5 linked regions of the Canis lupus familiaris genome follow. The protein of the gene in region 2 interacts with the protein of the main gene of each other region in a pairwise test. Links are inferred from orthologs where the notes say so. Each region holds a gene or a part of one and is shown on either strand. Other genes may lie near its edges.

What was found.
Region 1: the proteins of NAB2 (region 2) and PHOSPHO2 interact in binary tests that used the Homo sapiens proteins (3 or more experiments, as listed by UniProt). The two-hybrid records come from large-scale screens. The link is inferred for Canis lupus familiaris from reciprocal best matches to the Homo sapiens genes NAB2 and PHOSPHO2.
Region 3: the proteins of NAB2 (region 2) and TCEANC interact in binary tests that used the Homo sapiens proteins (3 or more experiments, as listed by UniProt). The two-hybrid records come from large-scale screens. The link is inferred for Canis lupus familiaris from reciprocal best matches to the Homo sapiens genes NAB2 and TCEANC.
Region 4: the proteins of NAB2 (region 2) and PHF1 interact in binary tests that used the Homo sapiens proteins (3 or more experiments, as listed by UniProt). The two-hybrid records come from large-scale screens. The link is inferred for Canis lupus familiaris from reciprocal best matches to the Homo sapiens genes NAB2 and PHF1.
Region 5: the proteins of NAB2 (region 2) and RFC5 interact in binary tests that used the Homo sapiens proteins (3 or more experiments, as listed by UniProt). The link is inferred for Canis lupus familiaris from reciprocal best matches to the Homo sapiens genes NAB2 and RFC5.

Annotation. Positions count from the first base shown.
Region 1 is NC_049257.1:14,699,346-14,703,316, reverse strand, and holds the start of PHOSPHO2 (pyridoxal phosphate phosphatase PHOSPHO2), read right to left. Parts: upstream 2,809-3,971; 5' UTR 2,561-2,808; intron 2,011-2,560; 5' UTR 1,977-2,010; intron 69-1,976; 5' UTR 1-68. Other genes in the region: CCDC173 (coiled-coil domain-containing protein 173), read left to right, coding at 2,984-3,041. UniProt on the Homo sapiens protein: Phosphatase that has high activity toward pyridoxal 5'-phosphate (PLP).
Region 2 is NC_049231.1:1,579,465-1,583,567, reverse strand, and holds the start of NAB2 (NGFI-A-binding protein 2), read right to left. Parts: upstream 2,807-4,103; 5' UTR 2,740-2,806; coding exon 2,657-2,739; intron 1,257-2,656; coding exon 383-1,256; intron 1-382. UniProt on the Homo sapiens protein: Acts as a transcriptional repressor for zinc finger transcription factors EGR1 and EGR2. Isoform 2 lacks repression ability.
Region 3 is NC_049260.1:10,113,179-10,117,146, forward strand, and holds the start of TCEANC (transcription elongation factor A N-terminal and central domain-containing protein), read left to right. Parts: upstream 1-1,160; 5' UTR 1,161-1,263; intron 1,264-3,592; exon of another isoform or gene 3,593-3,593; 5' UTR 3,594-3,720; intron 3,721-3,968.
Region 4 is NC_049233.1:2,998,952-3,003,159, forward strand, and holds the start of PHF1 (PHD finger protein 1), read left to right. Parts: upstream 1-1,400; 5' UTR 1,401-1,529; intron 1,530-2,247; 5' UTR 2,248-2,266; coding exon 2,267-2,425; intron 2,426-2,517; coding exon 2,518-2,599; intron 2,600-2,707; coding exon 2,708-2,803; intron 2,804-3,233; coding exon 3,234-3,334; intron 3,335-3,427; coding exon 3,428-3,576; intron 3,577-3,776; coding exon 3,777-3,872; intron 3,873-4,049; coding exon 4,050-4,118; intron 4,119-4,208. Other genes in the region: kinesin-like protein KIFC1, read left to right, coding at 92-136. UniProt on the Homo sapiens protein: Polycomb group (PcG) that specifically binds histone H3 trimethylated at 'Lys-36' (H3K36me3) and recruits the PRC2 complex. Involved in DNA damage response and is recruited at double-strand breaks (DSBs).
Region 5 is NC_049247.1:14,761,036-14,765,269, forward strand, and holds the start of RFC5 (replication factor C subunit 5), read left to right. Parts: upstream 1-1,426; 5' UTR 1,427-1,547; coding exon 1,548-1,609; exon of another isoform or gene 1,610-1,962; intron 1,963-2,064; exon of another isoform or gene 2,065-2,248; intron 2,249-3,148; exon of another isoform or gene 3,149-3,296; coding exon 3,297-3,361; exon of another isoform or gene 3,362-3,624; coding exon 3,625-3,761; exon of another isoform or gene 3,762-4,234. UniProt on the Homo sapiens protein: Subunit of the replication factor C (RFC) complex which acts during elongation of primed DNA templates by DNA polymerases delta and epsilon, and is necessary for ATP-dependent loading of proliferating cell nuclear antigen (PCNA) onto primed DNA.

The DNA.
Region 1 (3,971 bases), on a different chromosome or scaffold from region 2:
ACTCCTACTCTATATGCAGGAAACAAAGTCTTCCGGTTTGGAGCAAAGAAACGGAGACTTCTTAACTCCTAAAATTAAAAGTATTTAAGATATTTTTAAATTTATGTTTTCTAATTACGCTGTTTTCTCTTACATTAGAAAGGCACTTATTGGCAATGGGAGAAACAAAATCTTGATTAAACAAAGATTACAATGAATATATATTTTAATCCAGTGGATAAAGTCACAAGTGTTAGGCTGATTATGTTAAGATTTCCAGGTTCCATTTTTCCTTTTTACTTGTTAAATAATAGATAAGTACTACATTCTATTGTCAACAAACTTTTAAAGATTAGTGCTATACTTTATTTTTTTTTATTTTTTATTTATGATAGTCACACAGAGAGAGAGAGAGAGAGAGAAAGAGGCAGAGACACAGGCAGAAGGAGAAGCAGGCTCCATGCACCGGGAGCCCGATGTGGGATTCGATCCCGGGTCTCCAGGATCGCGCCCTGGGCCAAAGGCAAGCGCCAAACCGCTGCGCCACCCAGGGATCCTCCCTAGTGCTATACTTTAATAAAAATGTCTCCAAAACTTAAGGATGTGCACAAAAGTTTAAAGAATGTGAATCTAAAAAAAAAAAAGTGAATCTATTTTGAATCCAGTTTAAAATTCCAAAAGCAGTTATTAATTATTCTCTCCAAAAGCATGAGCAGTATATATTTGCCATCTCTGCAATGTTTTTATATATCTATAAACGTAACATTTATATATATAAACATAACCTGTGTTTTTTACAATAAGGAAAACTGGAAACTGCACAGACATCCAAGAACTGGGGACTGGTTAAATAAGATATGTGATAGCCGGGTAATGGAATATTTATTTAGACAATAAAAGCTAAGATCTTTAGTACAACTTATACAAGTAAATCACTAAACAGTGTGTACAGTATAATCCCATTTTTGTTTTAAAAAATGTCTGTGTACGGTGGTAGGACCATGGGTGCTTCAACTGCCGTGCATTCTTTTTCTACACTGATTTTGTAATAATTTTTTCCAAAGAATAATTTAAACTCTTGTTTCAGATCAAAATGCAAATGCTACCTTAACTTCACAACAAAATAAAACAAAGGAGTGGAGTCAGAGAGAGAAGTAACTAGCTCTAGCTAGACTTAGCTGTAAGCATCCATGGGTTAGTTGAACTGGGTGTTGGAAGTCGAATGATATCAGACAAATTGGCAAATTACTGAGACTGAATTTTATATGATTCAATACTTTCTGTAACCTAGTTAGTTAAAATTCCAGTGAATTTTTGTTGGGAGGTAATTCTCCATGGTCTCTATTGGTTCTTCATGCTTTACAGGCAAGCCATTCACTGCTCTATGCTCTGGGCTATTGTCTCAACCTACGTGTAGTGAAAAACCCCGAAAGGCATGCTTATTGTCTAGTAGAATAGATTAAGGTTCCCTAAGCTCAAGGTTCCTGTGCAGTATTGCAACACACTCGCGTGCAGGTGACTTCTGATCGTTTCATCACCAGGTGGCAAGCGGGGTAAAACTGCTGAGATTTTGTCCAGTGTCATGGCTCTATGTCATTTATTTCTGCATCTTCCACAAAACTGTGGCAAGCTAAATTGTTAGTGTGCAAATAGTATAAAATCTCTCTGGCCCTTCCCGAGCTCTTGACACTTTTAAAACTATGCTTCTGGGCAGCCCCAGTGGCTCAACGGTTTAGCGCCTGCCTTCAGCCCAGGGCGCGAGCCTGGAGACCCGGAATCGAGTCCCACGTCGGGCTCACAGCGTGGAGCCTGCTTCTCCCTCTGCGTGTGTCTCTGCCTCTCTCTCTCAGGAATAAATAAATAAAAATCTTTAAAAAAATAATTTCTAAGAATAAAATAAAAATAAAACTATGCTTCAAAAAAAAAAAAAAAAACCTCACCAATGTGCATAAGCTAACTTACGTCAACAAATATTTTGTTAGTCCTTTCATACTTACCAGCATTATTACGGTGGAACATCAGATAGAAAACCTGAAGAAAAATAGCACAACTATGTGTTAGAACTTTAGTGATTAAAAATCGTTACCTCCTTTCATTTGAGCGACTCTACTCTAGTTTGGTGCCTAATGTGTAGGTGCCCTAGCCAACTAACTGATAAAAAAAAAAAAAAAAATTGTACTTCGATGTGTCAGAAAGGGGGGGGGTCTTTTGAAACCAAGACTGCATCCACTTTTAACAGATTTTTGTGTTCTCAGTGGTCTGACTTGTCCCACAAATACCTTCATTTTACTATACTGCATTTACAAAGCAATTTAAAACGTCTTAAGGGTCCTAACATGAATGTTCTGGGACAATATCCAAGTTTTTTTTTTTGTTTTTTTGTTTGTTTGTTTATTTTCTTTTTTAATATAAGCTTCATCTAGCCTGGATCATGGTTTCGAAACCAAAGTATTTAAAAACCGATTTCTCTGTCCATTAACCTCGGCGTTTCCACGGAAGGGGGGCCTCTGCCCTCCAGCTCCCCCCCGCGAGCAGGTCCGTGGGCCGCACACACCGAGTCAGGCCTCGCTCTCCCACACACCTGCAGGGTCCGCCCCGGACGTAGACGCAGGCACCTCGCTGGGGGTCATCCCCCGTGAGGAGCCCGGTGGACGAGGACCGGAGCGCCGGGCCGGGCCCCCAGGGCTCCTCACGGACCCGGACCACGCGTCGGCAGCCGTCCTGGCCCCGGGGCCGCTCCCGCAGGCTCTGCCCTCCGACCTCGTTCCGGAGCCTGCCCCTGAGGGGCACCCGACACGCGCGCCGGCGCACGACTTCCCGCGCAGGCGCAGTCCCGCTTTCCCAGCCCGACGGCCCCGCTGCGGCGCGTTCGCCGTTCCTCGGCGGCGGCTGCCGTCACTTCCGGCGGCGTTGCTAAGCGACTGCGCGCTTCGGCAAACATTCCTGCTCGCCCGGCGTCGGCGTCGCCTTGCCGAGTCTCAGAGTGCCCGACGCCTCGTCAGAGATGCTGGCGCGGGTTGGAAGGCGCTGTGGAGGTGTAGGGAGGGCGAGGGAAAACACAGGTGAGCTGACCTGGCCGATCCAGGCCCGGGGCGGGGGGGTGGGTAAGAGGCAGGGGGGCCGAATGGGAGTTCTGGTTACTCTCTGAGAAGGGCTCCACCAACTCGAAAGCAGCCCCATGGGCATCGTTGGGCTCTGAGTAAATGCACAGGTTTGGCTTCAGATGAATGGGCAGGTGGGAAACGTTCACACAAATAGGAGGGGAGAAAAGATGAGTCAGAGACTCCTAGGTGACCAGCCTCGAGGTGTGCAGTGGCAGCTCCAAGAGTGTTGTGTTCACTGAATTCCCTTAAGCTTTTGTTATTCGTGAGTGACTTGGAATATCTTTTGGAAATATCAATGACTTCACTAGAGTCTTGTCTGTGCTGAGAACCTACTGTGCCCTTAGGAACGTCTCTAATGGAAATTTATCTCTTTTCTTTTCTTTTCTTTCTTTCTTTCTTTCTTTCTTTCTTTCTTTCTTTCTTTCTTTCTTCTTCTTTTTTATAATAAATTTATTTTTTATTGGTGTTCACTTTGCCAACATACAGCATAACACCCAGTGCTCATCCCCTCAAGTGTCCCCCTCAGTGCCCGTCACCCATTCACCCCCACCCCCCGCCCTCCTTCCCTTCCACCACCCCTAGTTCGTTTCCCAGAGTTAGGAGTCTCTATGTTCTGTCTCCCTTTTTGATATTTCCCACACATTTCTTCTCCCTTCCCTTATATTCCCTTTCACTATTATTAATATTCCCCAAATGAATGAGAACATATAATGTTTGTCCTTCTCCTATTGACTGACTTCACTGAGCATAATACCCTCCAGTTCCATCCACGTTGAAGCAAATGGTGGATATTTGTTGTTTCTAATGGCTGAGGAATATTCCATTGTATACATAAACCACATCTTTATCCGTTCATCTTTCGATGGACACCGAGGCTCCTTCCAGTTT
Region 2 (4,103 bases):
GACTCCCCACTGCCTCGCCCAGACCCTTCACCCTTCACCATCGGACATCGAAGCCCACCCCTCAGGTGTTGCTGAAGATGATAGTACGTGGCTTCCCAAAGGACCAAGACGGAGGCCAGCACCCACAGCTTCCTAGGAACGCCGGGAGCCCCCTCCACCTGTGGGGTCCTGAGGGGCACAGAGCAGGACACCCGGGCTCTCGCCTGCACCTCCCCCTTAGTTGAGGAGGGCAGCACTGCAGTGGCTGGGGTTGGGCCGTTGGGGTGGGGGGCGTGGGGTCCTGGTCAAGGGGCAGTGAAACAAACCTGGGGAGCGGAAAGATTCTCTAAGGCGAATAGGCTGAGACCTGGGAGCCGAGCACAATACTGCGTGGGGTCCTCACCTCATGCAGGCTGAGCTGCTTGCCCTCCCTCCGCTTGGAGTCAAAGCGGCCGTAAATGATGCTGTATTTGCGGATCTCCTCCTCCTTCTGACTGTCGTTATCGTCCATCTCAAAGATGTGTCCTACGCTCCGAGCCAGCTTCTTGTTCAGCTTCAGCAGGGACGTTACCTCCCCTGCGTCCCCCCTGGGGAAGCTCCGGAAGATCCTCTCCACACTCTCCACCACCATGCGCACCATCTCCGGTTCCAGTCGATCTGGGCCACCCCCAGCCCCGGCTGCTGCCAGCCCCCCAGCCCCAGTCCCCTCGGGGACTCCTCCCCCTGCAGGTGGGGAGAAGGGGGGTGAGCCTGCCTCCTCTTCTCCTCCCGCCCCAACGTCGGACTCTGGAGTGCTCCGTCCTGGCCAGATCCGGGGGTCTCCTGCCCCAGGTCCCCCAGGCAGCGGTGACAGCTTCTCTCCAAGTTCAAGGGGGCTCTTGGGGCTGAAACTGCGGGCACTGCCTGCCTTTTCCCCTGGGCTGCTGTGCCCGTTGCTCATGCTCCCTTTCCGGGTGCCTGCAGTCTCGGAGATCTTGAAAAGTGGAATACTGGAAACAGGCACAGCAGGCACAGGCTGGCTGAAGAGCCCTGGGTTGGTGGCCCATTCTCTCAGGGCCTTCTGCAGGCGTCGGACATGGAGGGGCTTGGTGGCCATGCCCACAAGGGCCATGATCTCCAGGAACTCCTCCTCACCAGCCTCACACAGTTGCTGCACATCGTCCCCTCCCTGCTGGATGAAGGTCTCATAGTAGGAAAGCAGATTGGCGCGCTGCAGGACCCGGTACAGCTGCAGCTCCCCCAGTGTCCGAGGCAGTGCCATGGCTCGGGCACTGGGCCTGGAAAGGAGGAGCGCGGTAGAGAGGGAGGCAGTCAGTACAGGTCCCCCTGCTGGGTACCCACCCAACACTCATCCTGCATCCTCTTCCCTGCCTGCTTCTCATCCCCCTCCTCTGAAGGCTCGCTCTGCTGGATACCCAAGCTTGAACACAGACTATGAGAACTGGGCATTACCCAGAGGCAGAAACACCCCAGTGCCACACCAGACTAGCCACAAGTCAGCCCAGTCTAGGCTGAAACCAAAGACTCTTCGCTACCATTCTCAGTTTTTACTTTTCTGCCTTGGGGCAAGGAGACCAGGAGCACTGAGGCCAGCCACGGCCCCCGGGATGGCTGGGCCTCCTCCTCCCCTCAGCACGGGTCTTCACCCTCCGCCCTAAACGCCCGGCAGTTCCAGCATTACTCAAGGTGACTTTCCAAACTGAAGTGCACGTAGGACCCCGTGGCCTCCCCACAGTGGGCTCCTGGGACCACTGCCGGCCAGTTTCACTGCCTGGTGGCATCCTACCCAGGTGGCTGCGAGGGAGGGGTGTGGCCCTTTCCCACTCGGCGAGCTCGGCTGCGCTCCCCTGAGCTGCTCCCCTGACTGCTCGGGCCCTCCCCTGTCCGGGCTGCCCAGGGCCCCTCCGAGGGCCCCTCTCTGGGCAGTGACCCTCTCCACCTGCTGGGTAGGTAGGCCGGTCCGGTCCCTTCGGCTCAGGCACGGCAGGGAGGAGTGCCTCAATTGTTCTGCTCTGGGGCCGTTCCGCCCACGCACACTCCTACAGTGGCAGCGTCCGTGGGCGAAAACCGCCTGGGGGCTCCCACCTCTCTCCTCTCCCTCATTTTCCACCCACACCTCCAAGCGGAGCGGGGGAGACGCTCGAGGCCCCCGAGGGAGGGGCTGCACACCGAAACTCCCCTCCGCGGGCCGTAAATAAAGCTAGAGAGGAGAAGGGGCGCCTACGGCCAGCCCCGCGTCTCCACGGCCCTGCGGATGCTCCGGGGCTCGGGCTCGGCGGCGCCGCTCCTCCCGGACCCTGGGGCCCGCGCACTCCGTACCGACGGAGAGCGGGGCGCTCGGCGGCCCTCCCCGGCCCCGTGACCGGCCAGAGCTCCAGGACTTCCCCTGGCGCTCGGGGGCCCCCACATTGCTCGCAAGGGGTTCACGCGCCAGACCGCGGCGGCGGAGTAAACGGGGGATGGAGGATTAGGTCTCACTGTTTCACATCCAGCTTCACCCGCTCCCTCCCTGCTCCCCGGGCCCCCTAATTCGAAGACGCACCCCCTTTTCAAGCAGTCTCCACCCCCCACCCCCGTCCCGCTTCCCCTCCCGTCTCCCCGACCTCCGCCCTCCGGACCCCTTCCCGAGCCCGGCTCCACCCATCTCCACTCCCGCCGCTCTCCTCTGCCCACTAACTTGGGTCTGGGCTGCGCGGTCCGGCGGGCGCTGTCCCCTCCGCCCGGCGGCTGCTCGGCTGTGGGGGAGGGCGCCCTGCGCATGGACGGCCGGCGGCCGCAGGCTGCCCCTCTCGGTGCCCCGCGCTCGGCGCCTGGCGCGCGCTGCCGCGGCCGCGGTCCGGGCTCCGTCCCTCCCTCCACGTCTCCTCTCGGCGAGCCTCCGCGCCTCTGTGCCTCGGCCCCCCCCTCCCCGGCTGCGCCTGCCGCCTCTCCGCGCCGCCGCCCCCGCAGGACGCACGGGGAGCGAGGCCCGGCGCTGCGCTGGCTGCCGGGCGGGCGGAGGGCGTGGGCAGCGCCGGGGGCGGGCGCCGGGGGCGGGGGGCGGGCGCCCGGGCCTCCGGGCCGCGGTGCAGGCGCCGCGGCGGAGCGACGGCGGGAGGCGGGGCCGGGGGGAGGGGGCGTGGAGCGGGGGGCGGGGGCGGGGCCGCGGGGCGCGGGGGGCCGGGGGGGCCGAGGCCGGGCCGCGGGGGGCGGGGCGAGGTCGCGCGGTGCCGCCCCCGCCGGATGCGCAGCAGGCCCTCTCCGCGCCCACGGACCCACGTGAGCGCCCAGCCGGCGACATTCCTACCCCCCGCCGCCCGCTCCTACCCCGGGGCGGGGAGCGGACTTTCACCGCCACGCGCGGGCACACGGAACACGGAGAAGCGCACACGCGTGCACACGCGCCGCGGGAAGTCCGCGGCCCGCCGGCCGGGAGCCGGGGAGAGTTGGCGGGCTCGGGGTGCGCCCGTCGGCTGCCCGCGTGCGCGCGGGGCTCGGCAGGAATCCCCTGGCGGGCCCGGCGCTCCCCCGCTGCGACGGGCGGCCTCGCGAGGGCGGTCCTCGGGGGCCCGGGCCTCCACCCTGCTCGCCTCCCGGTCGGAGCTCGGGGCGCAGGAGCGGGCGGGCCGTGCTCGCGGCTACCGCGCCGGGTGGCCGGGTGGCCGGGGGTCAGGCGGGGGGAGGGCTTCCCCTCCTGCCTCAGCGCGTCGCATCTCTTTTGCTCCGCGGAATTCTGTGGCAAGGCCGGGACCGGGAGGATGGCCCTTCCGCGGATGTTTTTAGGGGACCAACTGCACTCCAGAGAGTCTAACGGAAGACGGGCTGGAGGCCGGGGAGTCCGACGTGGCTCCCGGCGGTGGAGTTGCAGGGAGGAGCTCTCTGCGGGAGCCGGCCCCCCGCAGCCCCCCCGCAGGCCCCCTCCCGTGTGTCTCTCCTAGCCCCATCTGGTTCCCATTACGCTCCCGCCCACGGCCCGGAGGTCGGGGAGGGGGAGGGGGCGGGGGCGGGGGCCGGCGGGGGCTCCCAGGGCCCGGTCCAGCCGCTCCAGGCCGGGCTGGGGCGCGAGCGGCCTGGCTGCGGGAGCCCCCCCCCCCCCCGTCCGAAGCCGCAGCCCCGCCCCGCCATTCCGCACTTGTGAGTGGCCC
Region 3 (3,968 bases), on a different chromosome or scaffold from region 2:
TAAAAAAGCCAGCCTAATCTAATATGGAAACTTCAATCAGTCATCCAATTCAAAGCTCTGGCTCCCTCTCAGTTCAGGTGTGACCTGTAACTCTGTGGAAGAGCAAAGGGAACGTTATGTGGATTAAGTTCTTCACTCTCCTATTGCACACTTTCTGCACTATTTTCTGGTTTCTCCAGGGTAAGGGCAGCAGGAGGAAGGGATGGTAATACAGGTCTGTTTAGAGTCAAATGTCCACCTTTGTCTTCACATGACCTTCACTCAACTCCAGTGTCTTGTCTTCTCTTACAAGGATTGTCTCTCGTTGGATTTGGGGCCCAACCCAGTGATCCAGGATGGTCTCATCTTCAGATCCTTAATTATATTTACAAAGCCCCCCCCCCCCCATTTTTTCCCAAGTAAAGTTGTCTGGATAGGTTTGGGGGAGGCAGATTTAGGAAGTGGCTGTATCTATCTTGGGGGCCGGGGCACCATTCAACCCACAACACTCATCAAATTGTTTCATTGAACCTGAAAGTGACCGGGAAAGCTGCGCGGTTTGCTCAAGCTCCAGCCCTGGAGCAGCCAAGGGGCAGGAGAGCCAACAGAGCAGCGGTGAGAAAAAATGAGTTTCTTGTTATACCCTATGGAGCGTCCCTGCTCGACCAATTAGATTCATTGGTGTCTCACTTAGTTGTGATAGAAACCATCGTGCGGCAGTAATAGCCGTTTGAAACTAAAGCCCCGAGTTTTACCGTCGCTTTGATTTTATCGGACCGTTGCAGGGAGAGGATGTGTCCGGATGAGCGGTGCCACGGCCACCTGGTGAATGTTCAGTACTTCCTTACCAAGGGACGCGGGCTAGGGCTGCAATACATACTTGTTAATTAATTACTGCATGAAATCAATCGCATCCGGCCACCGTTTTGTCAACCTTTCAGCTGAGCACTGCCTTGACTGAAAGCACAAAGCGTACGCCGTGGAGTTAGTTCAACACACTTCGCAGCTGAAAAACGCTCCTGGGGGCAGCTGCCTTCAACTCAGGAGGCCCCGGGGCCACGTCGCCCGCCACGCCCGGGGCCGCCCCACAGCGAGCGGCGGCGCGGGCTTGACGGCCGCCGGTCCCTCTGCGCAGACGCCACGTACCCAGCACGCATGCGCCCGGCCTGCGGTCTCCAGCCGCCGGCCTCGGATTGGTGGAGCCTCGGTGGCCCCGCCCCGCGTGCCGGAAGCTCTGTCCCGGCGCCGACGTCTCCGGAGATTCCCGGGCGTGTGCGCTTCTCGGTGAGCGACGCTCTAGGTTGTCGCGTGTGTGTGCCCGGCGGCGCTCGGGGACGCGCACCCCTGTTCGGGGACGCTCACCGCTGCTCCGGGAGGGCGCGGGGGGCCGCGGTGCGTCCCGGGGCGGGCGGGCCCTGTAGCGCCCTCGCGCCTCTTCTCGGGCTGACGTCGCTGGGGTGGGCGGATCCCCGGGGGCCGCCGCCGCCTCCGAGCTGGCGGCCCGCGCCCCTCTCCCGAACCCGAGCCCCCGCGGGCCCTTGCGCTGCTCCCTTCCGCCCTCTGCACCTGTGCCGGGGGGCGTCCTAACACGAAGGGACACTAGCGCAGTGTTGCGTGGCTGTTCGGAAACCGCGGCGCCCCGACCCAGCGTTTGGCATCGGTTCTCTCCCTGGGGGAAGGGGCTCCCCTGTGTAGCTGCAGAGCTGTGCGTGGGTTATGACTAGAAACAAAATTTCTCTTTGATCGCTCGTGTCCCCCGGGGATTAAGCCAGATGTGTGCAGATGTGTGCAGCGTGCCCATATTAGTTAATATTAACAAGCTTTTCTATGCATTCAGTCCACAGATATGTAGGGCCTGCACCTGCCCGCCCGGCATAGACTCATTTTCATGTATATTCAGAAGCTGGGGCAATAGGTGTGCACGTAAGCGTTATCTGTATTAGCATATGCTCTAGAACTGTGTTGTCCCATAGGTAACCACGAGCTACATGGAGCACTTGAAATGTTCCTGGTCCTAATTGAGATGCGTCAGAGTGTCAAACAGCGAATTTGGGGGAAATAAGTATGAAAAAGAGAATGTAAAATATCAACAATTTGTTTTTATTAATTACATGTTGAAGTGGCAGTATTTTGGATACACTGGTTAGGTAACATGCTGTAACCTTCACTTGTTTATTTTTTTAACGTGGGTACTAGAAAATTTTAAATTTTATCTGTGGCTTGCATTGTATTTCTGTTGGATAGCACTGCTTTAAAAGGGCTCAGCAAACTGTGGCCTACAGCCAAATCCAGCCTACCTGTCTTTGAAAAACATTGGAGCAAAGCCATACTCATTCTTTTATGTGTCGTCTATGGCTGCTGTTCCTGCTACCAGAGCAGCAGACTTGAGTAGTCCATACAGAGACTGGATGGCCTGCACAGCTTACAGTATTTACTATCTGGCCTTTTCCAGAAGAAGTTCGCCAACAAACAACAAAGTTCTGTACAACAGTGCCTGCCATGGAGATCCATGTCACGTGAATCTTTTAATTATAGTCCTGTGTAATTGTCATGTAGGCTTACTGTGTGACAGGCATGGCTCTAAGGACTTTATAAGGACTATCTCATTTATTTCCCATATTAAGCCTAAGATGCGGAATTTCCCCAGTTTTGTAGATGAAGAAACTGAGGCACAGAATCATCAAGAAACTTACGGAACATGCTCAACGCCCCTCGGCTTCTGTGAACTCTAGCTTCTTGACCCTTCTTATCCCCACAAGCTTGATCTCTGCAGTCCACTCAACCCACAGTGGGCACCATGGTGCTGCTGCTGCTACTGCTGCTACTCCTTTTTGTTTTGTCTTTTACATAACTTTTCGAACTAGAATTGAGATGAGGTTGGCTCATGTGGAAGAAGCTGAGGGGCAGTGAGCTTAGGTGCAGTGGGTACGAGCAAGCTGGTCTGTAGTGGAAAGAATGAAGTGTACAGGGGCGCCTGGGTGGCTCAGTCAGTTAGGCATCTGCCTTTGGCTCAGGTCATGCTCTTGAGGTCCTGGGATCCAGCCACGCGTCAGGCTCCCTGCTCAGGGGTGTGTCTGCTTCTCCCTCTGCCTCTGCCCCTCCCCTCTGGTTGTGCTCCACCCCAAATAAATAAAAAATCTTGAAAAAAAAAAAAGAATGGGGCGTACAAGCAGAGAGGAGAGGAAGCATTCTGGATCCTCTTTTCTCATTTAATAAGAATTTGTTGAGTAATAGTAAGAACTGGCCAGGTGTCTGCTGGGCGTGTCTCCGTGAATGAAACAGACATCATTCTCTTATGGTCTTGTGGGGAAAGCAGACAATAAAAAACATTTTAGGGACGCCTGGGTGGCTCAGTGGTTGAGTGTCTGCCTTCGGCTCAGGGCATGATCCTGGGGTCCTGGGATCGAGTCCTGCATCGGTCTCCACGCAGGGAGCCTGCTTCTCCCTCTGCCTGTGTCTCTGGGTCGCTCTCTGTGTGTCTCTTGTGATTAAGGAGAATCTTTAAAAAAATAATTTTAATGTAGTCTGCACAGTGAAAAGCCATCACAAATATTTGATTTTTTTAAAGACGTTTTTAAATTTAAAAAAATTTTTATGATTTTTTTTTTTAACAGGCTTCCTCATCTGGAAGATGGAGATAAGCCACATACCTGACTTGGGGTCATCGCAAGGATGGAGATGACATAAATGTGTGTGGCACGTACAGTTCAATAAATGTACATTGCCTTCTGCTGTTAAGAGGTAAGGGAGGGAATAAGTCCGGGGAACTGGGTGCATCGTGACGCTTAAGACATTGCAACCACCAGTTATAATTGTAGAGAAGAGTCTCAGGTGAGCTGTGCACAGGAGGTGTTTTTAATATTTCCTAATGGGGCTCAGTCAGCAAAATCCAAAAGCAGGGAAGTTCTATACATTCACTGGAGGAGCAGGTCAGGAGCTGTCTTTGGGCTGATGGCAGTGTAACTGAGTCGGTCCTGTAGCAGGAGGGC
Region 4 (4,208 bases), on a different chromosome or scaffold from region 2:
GCCCCAATATTGGGGGTGGGGGGTGATCTTGGAGAAAACTGTTATTTTGGTTACTCACAAAATATTTTTATTCTAAAACCTCTGCCCGCAGGTGAACCAGTGTGTTATTGGTACGGCCCAGGCTAACAGGAAATGAAGACAGATCCAGATCCTCTGTTTGGGAAGGGGGGGTGGGGGTGGCGCTGAAGGATGCTTTGTTGGGGGGAGGGGCGCTCTGTGACCTGGGTCTATCAAATAAAGAACAAGTTTTTTTTCTTTAAATAAAGGTTTTGTTAACAATGGCCCGTATCTGTAAAAATGGGAACTGTGGATCGTCTACTCTGCCGAGTATTTGTGTTTTGCAGAGCAAGGGTTTCAGCTTTTCTCTACCTGGCTATCTCCTGGAGACTAGATGGTTACCCTGGTTGTCCGCCTCTAGGAGATGTGCCCACTGGCCGACCGCCGTCACTGGTTTGCCGCAGGCCACCCAGCTCCACGCGGAGAGCTCGTCTGGTGGGTGCGGGAAAGTGGAAGCCCGAGTCCAGAGGCCGGGCCAGCGAGCCCTCCTGCAAACTGCGGGCTCTCCCTCCCGCTCTTTCCTTGCCGTCCCATTCGAAGAACTGGGGCCGGCCCGCCCGCTGCCCATTGGCTGGCTCTCGGCGGCGTTACCGCCTCGCTACTAGCTCTCCCGGTCCGTGTACCCGCCCTACAGGCGCTGGGTGGGCTGCACGCCCGCTGACTCGCTCGCGCCAACCGCCAACGGCCACCGCCCGGCAAAGGAGGGGCTCGGTCCACCCAGGTGCCGCGCGCGGGAGGGGTCACGCATGCGCAGAAGCGCGGCGGCGGTGTGGCGGGGGGAGACTTACCACGGGGAGGGCGGGGCCGGGGCAAAGGCGGGAGGAAGGCGGGGCACTCGAGGGAGGAGGGCGTGGCGGGGGCGACGGGACGGGTGAATGGGGGGCGGGGTCGTGAACTGGGGCCGAGGGGCGGGACTTGGAGTGACCATGGAGGTTGGGGGGGCAGTTAACGGATGTGGCATGGGGCGGGGGCCAGGCTGGAGACCAGCTGCGGGGAAGGGGGGGATTCCCTGCTGCCCCGAGGGCGGATCTCCCTCCGAGGAAGGGGCTGCAGGGATTCCCTCTCGCACTGGGTCTTGACTTTCCACCCGCCCCAGCCGTGGGGAGGCCGCCACCCGTTCGGCGCCCTCCAGGCCCGTTGGAGGTGAGGGAGGTGGGGTGAGGTGGTGCCCGCCCCCCCCCCGGCTCCTCCTTCCCCTCAGTCCTCCCCTCCCACTACCCTCCCCCCGAGCCGGTTTGTCCCTCCCCTCCCCTCCCCTCCTTCCCCCCGCCGCCTCCTCCTGCCGCTGCCGCTGCTTTGGCTGCTGCGTCATACGCCCCAGAGCTGCCGGGACGGAGGGGCTGGGCCTGGGGACCCCCCGGCCCTTGCCTGCCCGCCCTCCGACGCCCAGACGTGCCCTCCCCGCGCGGGGGGTTCGCCTCGGTCTCCCACGTCTGCCTCTGCCCGGCTCCCGGCGGCCCCAGCTGTCACTGGTAAGGAGGCGGCGGGAGGCGCCCGTGGGGGGGGGCAGGGAGCCGGGGGTCGGCGCGCAGGGCGCGGGCGGGAGAGCCTCGCCGCCCAGGCATCAGCTCGCGCTGGGCTGACTCAAGTCCCCTCTCGGACTCGCTGTCCTGGGGAGTAGAGACCGGGACTGGGACACGCCCCCCTCCCAGGGCACTCAAGGAAGTTATCTAACCCGGGGGACAGGGAGCCCCGTATTTGAGGGTGACCTGCCATAACCTGGCATCGGGATTATTGTTCTGGAGACACAGGGGCCCGGGGAGGCAGCCGTTTCTAATTTGGAAAACATTTCCAGAAAAGCTCCCAAAACACATTCTCTGGGTAGCAGAACACCCCAATTACAGTATCTCTAAACAGAAGGTGACAGTAGAAACTGAATGGTAACCTTTGCTTCTGCAACCATCATTCCTCCTAAAATCTCAAGGCCAGGATACAGTATCCCAGGGGAGCTCTGGAAGCTGGGAAACTAGAGAACTAGGTTGGGGGGTGGGGGGTGTTAGGGAGAGGAGAGCCAGTCACCAGAGTTGGAAAAGCTGGAGTCATGAAGCTTGGGAGGGGTGCTGTGTGATTTCCTATCCAGGTATTTCATATTTGGAGACTGGTAGCACAGCTGCTTGAGTCCTTGAGGCATAGAAAAATGGGGACAGTTTCTCAACATTCATAACCTTCTCCCATCCCACTTCTGGATAGCCCCCCCCCCCAGGATGCAATGGCACAGCCCCCCCGGCTGAGCCGCTCTGGTGCCCCCCCACTTTGGGACCCAGCCTCCCCTGCTCCCACCTCAGGCCCCAGGCCTCGACTTTGGGAGGGTCAAGATGTGCTGGCCAGGTGGACGGATGGACTGCTATACTTGGGGACCATCAAGAAAGTAAGACCTTTGACTTCTGACTTATTACCTTCCCCCCATTCTCCTTATGTAGTTCCGATTCCTGTTTCATCTCCTGTGCTCATCCATTCCAGGTGGACAGTTCCCGGGAGGTGTGTCTGGTCCAGTTTGAGGACGATTCCCAGTTTCTGGTTCTATGGAAAGACATTAGCCCTGGTGAGACCTTAGAGGCCCAAATATATGCATGCTGTGGAAAGCAGAAACCTGGCTTGGGGGATGTAAAGGGGGCTTAAGGACAGGCCCCACAACACTGTTCCCTCACAGCTGCCCTCCCCGGGGAGGAACTCCTCTGCTGTGTCTGTCGCTCTGAGACTGTGGTCCCTGGAAACCGGCTGGTCAGCTGTGAGAAGTGTCGCCACGGTGAGAGGGCAGGATACCTAAATGGTCTAGCTTGCCCTGAACCTTCCAGGCTGCCTCTAAGTCTTCCCTCCACCACTGATCCTTAGGCCACCTGTCCTGGCTGAGTCCCCAAGCCACTGCTCTGGCCAGTCTGCTCAACTCTGTAACCTCTCTTCCAGCACAGGGAGAAATAGCCATGGAATCAGGAGGTGTGGGCTTTGTAGACAGAGGATGGTTCAAATACACCTTTACTAACCATAAAACCTTGGGCAAATTCCCAAGCCCCTAGGAGCCTGTCTCCTCACCTGTAAAATAAGGGTAACTTATCTACTGCAGCCAGATCACAGTCAAAGATGAAATGAGGTGGCCCAGACTCCTCCTATCCCAGTCACTAGCACACACAGGTATATTGTGCAATAAATGGTCTACCATCAATATTATCATTATTCAGCTTATCACCAGGACTGCCACGTTCCAAGAGCCCCAGCCCCTGGAGAGGGAGAGGGCACATCCTGGGTCTGTCGCCAGTGTGTCTTTGCCATTGCCACCAAGGTAAGGTCACCATTCTGTGGGAGCCTCCCCCACCACCTCTCCCAAGCCTTCCTGTTCCCTACCCGTCTGAGGTGGCCTGTTTCCTCCCTGCAGAGGGGGGGTGCACTGAAGAAGGGCCCCTATGCCCGGGCCATGCTGGGCATGAAGCTGTCACTGCCATATGGACTAAAGGGGCTAGACTGGGACGCTGGACATCTGAGCAACCGACAGCAGAGCTACTGTTACTGTGGTGGCCCTGGGGAGTGAGTAAATGAGGGACAGGGGTGGAGGAGTGGTGGGGAGGGAATGAATGATGGAGTGGGTGGGGGGATCCTGGGGAATGAAGGAGAAAAAATAGGATGAAGGGAGTGCTGAAGAAAGCAGAAGTAGGTGGTGAGTAGGGTTTGGGGCCATTCAGGTCGGGGCAGTGTCTGGAGGTCACCAGTCCTGTGTTCCCTCTCAGGTGGAACCTGAAAATGTTGCAGTGCCAGAGCTGCCTGCAGTGGTTCCATGAGGCCTGCACCCAGTGTCTGAGCAAGCCGCTCCTCTACGGGGACAGGTGAGATGGGGCTGGCTCTCTGGGAGCCAAGGGAGAATACTCTTGCCCTGCTCTACCCTCTCAGGCCCCCATGCTGCTTCAGCTCCATGTCTCCCCAGCCTCTGAAGCTCACCTCCCCTACGCACCCCATCCTTATTCATAAGTCCTCCACGCTCTCTCCCCCTCGCCCACTTCCAGGTTCTACGAGTTCGAATGCTGTGTGTGTCGGGGTGGCCCTGAGAAGGTCAGGAGGCTACAGCTTCGCTGGTGAGTGGGCACCACCTCCACATGGCTCCTCTCTCAGCACCCCCAGCCTCCCACCTTGGGCTCTCCAGGCTTTTGTATTGACAAATCATT
Region 5 (4,234 bases), on a different chromosome or scaffold from region 2:
ACACCAGCCAATTCTTGAGTAGGCTTTTGCTTGAGAGGAAACATTTGAAACACAAATAGGGTGGGTGGAAAGTGCTAGAAGGGAAGAAGAGAGTAAAGTGGCCATGTACCAGATGCCACACATGTGTTACTTGATTCTCGAGACACCTTTGGAGTAGAGGTTATTAGACTAGAAGAGAGGCAAGCTGCCCAAAGCTAAGCAGCAAAGTGGCACACTAAGGGCCTCAACAACCAGAGTTAGAGTTAGCCACAGTCATACTACAAACCACATCTGACCGCCCTCCCCACCTTCTTCTGAGTCTATAGGCAGGGGCTAGTGTGAAGCATAGTCACCATCATGTATTTGCCCAACTGTCCCTCTACTCTGTTCCTGGGGCAGGTGCCAGTGATGTAATAAGATGCAAGGAGCGGCTACTTAAAAAAAATTTTTTTTTTAATTTAAGGGAGAAGGAAAAGCAGACTCCCTGATGAGCAGGTAAATGACGCAGGGCTCAATTATCAGGACCTGAGGTGAAAGCAGATGGTGCTTAACTGGCTGAGCCACCCAGGTGGCCTAGGAGTAGCTACTTCTGGCATCTGTACACTCCTGACTCAGGCCAGCCTCATGTCTTCTCCCTTCTCTTCCTCATGTCCTTCTCAACATGTTAAAAAAATAACAACAAACAACTTTATTATGGATAAAGCATGTGATCTGTAATATGTAATACATATTGCTGGGAAATACAGATCAGCAAAATAGAAGAAAATAAAAGTGCTCCATAATCACCTCATTGCAGAAAAAATTTCAATACTGGTTCTCCTATCTTCAGATCACAGGGTCCCTGTCCTCCATGTTTGGTAACTAGCGCTTTCCAGTCACACACATTAACCTAACTGGAAGTTTATTTTTTGTTTTTCACTGGGGTTGCTTCCGGAACTTGGTTCTCTAGATTTTGTTGGGCGAGGGGCATGGATTTGGGAGGTAAATTGGAGTTGTGTGTGTTTGGAGTTGTTCATCAATTCGAAGTACTCACCTCCCAGCTTTGGGGCCAAAAGGTTTTTTGGAGTCTTTTTTCCTAGGGAATCGCGGTTGTTTTATCCTCGGGTTTGTTTGTCTTGTTTTTTAGGGCTGGACGCTCTCTGTTCCTCTGAACGGTGAGGGTTTGAACTTTGCTGGTAGCTGGAATTGGCTCTGGCCGTGACACTTAGTTTGTAAAGACGACTGGCGGCTGCAGGGGATGGCCTCGCCTCTCTAGCTTCCCGGGTTCCCGGGGCCCGGGAAGCTCCGTCGCGCGCGCGGGAGGGCAGCGGGGGCTGGAAGGGCGGACTCCGAGGGAGGCGTGCGGCCGGCGCCTCCCGGTAACCTGGTAACCGACCCCTTGGCAACAGAGAGGGGGCGGGACCCAGGGAGGAAGTCGGAAGCAGGAGGCTACATCTCGCGAGAGTTGCTTTTGCGCGCGAACTCTGAGAGCCAGGGTCCCGGCCGGGGTCGGCTCGCGGCGGGTAGCTGTGCGGGACCGCGGGGGCCGCGACGACGCGGGCGGGCCCGGACGCCTCTCTCACCGCGCCATGGAGACCTCAGCGCAGCAGGAGCAGCAGCCCGCGGCGGCCAAGATCAGAAACCTGCCCTGGTAGGAGGAGGCCCGGCAGCCGCGGGAAAGGGGACCGGTGACCTCGCCCGACCGCCCCCGACCTGCGGCCGGCCGGAGCCCCAGAATTTCGCCTTGACACCCCCAGCGCCCTCCGTTCTTTTAGGCCTTTTCCAGGTCTTCCCGCTGCCCCACCCCCACCGCCCCCATTCCTGGTATTCACTGGGTGACAGCGTAGAGGTTTCAGTCCCTCCTCTTCTGACTTTGCATCGGCCTCGGGCCAAAGTAGTCTCTCCACCCTTGCCGGAATCCTCAGGCAATGTTGCTCAAATTCTCAACGGAAAGGACAACGGTCCTAATAATGCTCCCCAGTCGAGTTGTATTTAAATGGCTTCCTGTTAGATTAGCGGGGACCCTGTTAGATGCTTGATCTTTACAAACACCCTAGGAGGTAGGTCGTTATTCCCGTTGGAAAACAAAAAGGTTAAATGACTTACCTGAGGTCCAGAGCAGGAAAATAGGTTGGGATTTGCATCCAGGTGAAATCAGAGCTTGCCCTCTTGAGCATCCTACTTCCACGGCTGCATCTGGATGGTGTTTTAGAAACTGATGGGATTCAGCTTGAGTTCTTCTGAAAGCTCCAAGTTGGTCGGTCTTGTCTCTTGAGTTCAGTTTGCTTTTCTCATGGAAAGAACACATAACATCCAATTTACAGTTGTAAACATTGTAAAGTGTGTAATTCAATGACTTTAAGTACATTGAGAATGTTGTGCTACCAGGTCACTGTCTAGTTCCAAAATTTTTCATTTTACCCCAATGGAAACTTCACACCTATTGGCAGTTATTCGCCATCTCCCCCCTCACCCCCAGACTCCACTTGCTGAAACCGTTAATCTGCTTTCTGCCTCTGGAGTGACTACCGTGGATATTTACATGGATAGAATCAGTATGTGGCCTTTTGTGACTGGGCTGCTTTCACAGCATCATGTTTTCTGGGTCCACCTGTACTGTTGCAGGTGTCATGGCTTCATTGCTTTTTATGGGTGAATAATATTCCATTGTATGGATAGACCACCATTTATTTATCCATTCATCTTTTGATGTATAGTTGGGTATGAGTTCAATTTTTTTTAACAAAGATTTTATTTACTTGAGAACGTGAGTGTGGGGGAGGAGCAGAGGGCGAGTGAAAAGCAGACTCCCTGCTGAGCAAGGAGCCTGATGCAGAGTGGGATCCTAGGACCCTGAGATCAGGACCTGAGCTGAAGGCAGATGGTTAACCGACTGAGACACCCAGGAGCCCCAATGAGTTCAGTTTTTAATTTATTTTGAAATAATAGGTGCCCATCCAGGTTGAGATTATTTATAGGCAGACAGCTGGGAAAGTGAAATTAGAGCAGCACTATTGGCATTTTGGGCTAGACGCTTGGTGGAGGCGGGCATGGTGACTGTCCTGTGCATTGTAGGGTTTAGTGACATCCCTGGTGCCTATCCACTGGAGGCCTGTAGCACCTCCACCCAATTGTGACAGCTGAAAATGTCTCCAGATATCACTGAGTGTTTCCTGGAGGACAGAATTACCTCTGGTTGAGAACCAGTGGTCTGTATTCAAACTTAGAGGATTTTGTTTCTCTTCCTCTTTTCATTAGGGTAGGAAAGGATTCTTTTGCACATAACAGTGTGTTCTTGCATTGGTATATATTGTAATCCCTGCTAAATTGTCTTTCAGGGTTGAAAAATACCGGCCACAGACGCTGAATGATCTGATTTCTCATCAGGACATTTTGAGTACCAGTAAGCATCCATGTGTCAGTTGCTGTCATTCTAGTTGGAAGACTTGTATAAATTTCTTGGTTATGTCTCTGCTGAGTAATAACCTCGAAGTATCTGACTGAGCTGTATGGAATGTTGCTCTGTGAGCTAGGTCCTTCGGATTTTTCTTTCCTGCATCTGTCTCTGATTTGAACATGGGATTGAAGTGCATTCAGGCCAACCCCAAGGGCCCAAGGTAAATCAGGTAACTCTTGAAACTGATGGGCTCTCTCATTCTTCCTCAGTTCAAAAATTTATCAGTGAAGACCGTTTGCCCCACCTGCTCCTCTATGGTCCTCCAGGGACAGGAAAGACTTCCACCATCCTGGCCTGTGCAAAACAGCTATACAAAGATAAGGAATTTGGCTCCATGGTCTTGGAGGTAAACAGGAAGATTATTCTTACTCAGCAAAGAACTCGAGTCTCTTACTTTTAGTATTCTTTGATTTACTTCACAAGTTAAGTTGCTGTACTGGAGGTGGGGGAAAGGAACAGACCTAGAATATTTCCAGTCACTTTTTATCTAGAATAGACATTTTGGTCTTGGTTGGCATCAGCTAGAGGGCAGTTGTAGGGCTAGGTATTTTTCTTTGCCTTTGCCAACTCATACTCAAGCACTCAGTGGTCACTCAGTGAGTGGTTGCTAAGTAGCTTGCTGTCTCCCATGTGCCTGTCCAGATTTCTCCTCCACGTGGCTCCACCCTGTTCTTGCGCTGGAAGGCTGTGCTGTATTGACTGCAGGCTGCCTTGTTCTTTGGCTCCTGGTTAGGTTTGGCCAATAGTGGCCCTGACTGGAGTCAGGGGAAGAGGAAGGATGCCTCGTCCTGTCTTGGGGGTCACCACCGGCTGACAGCA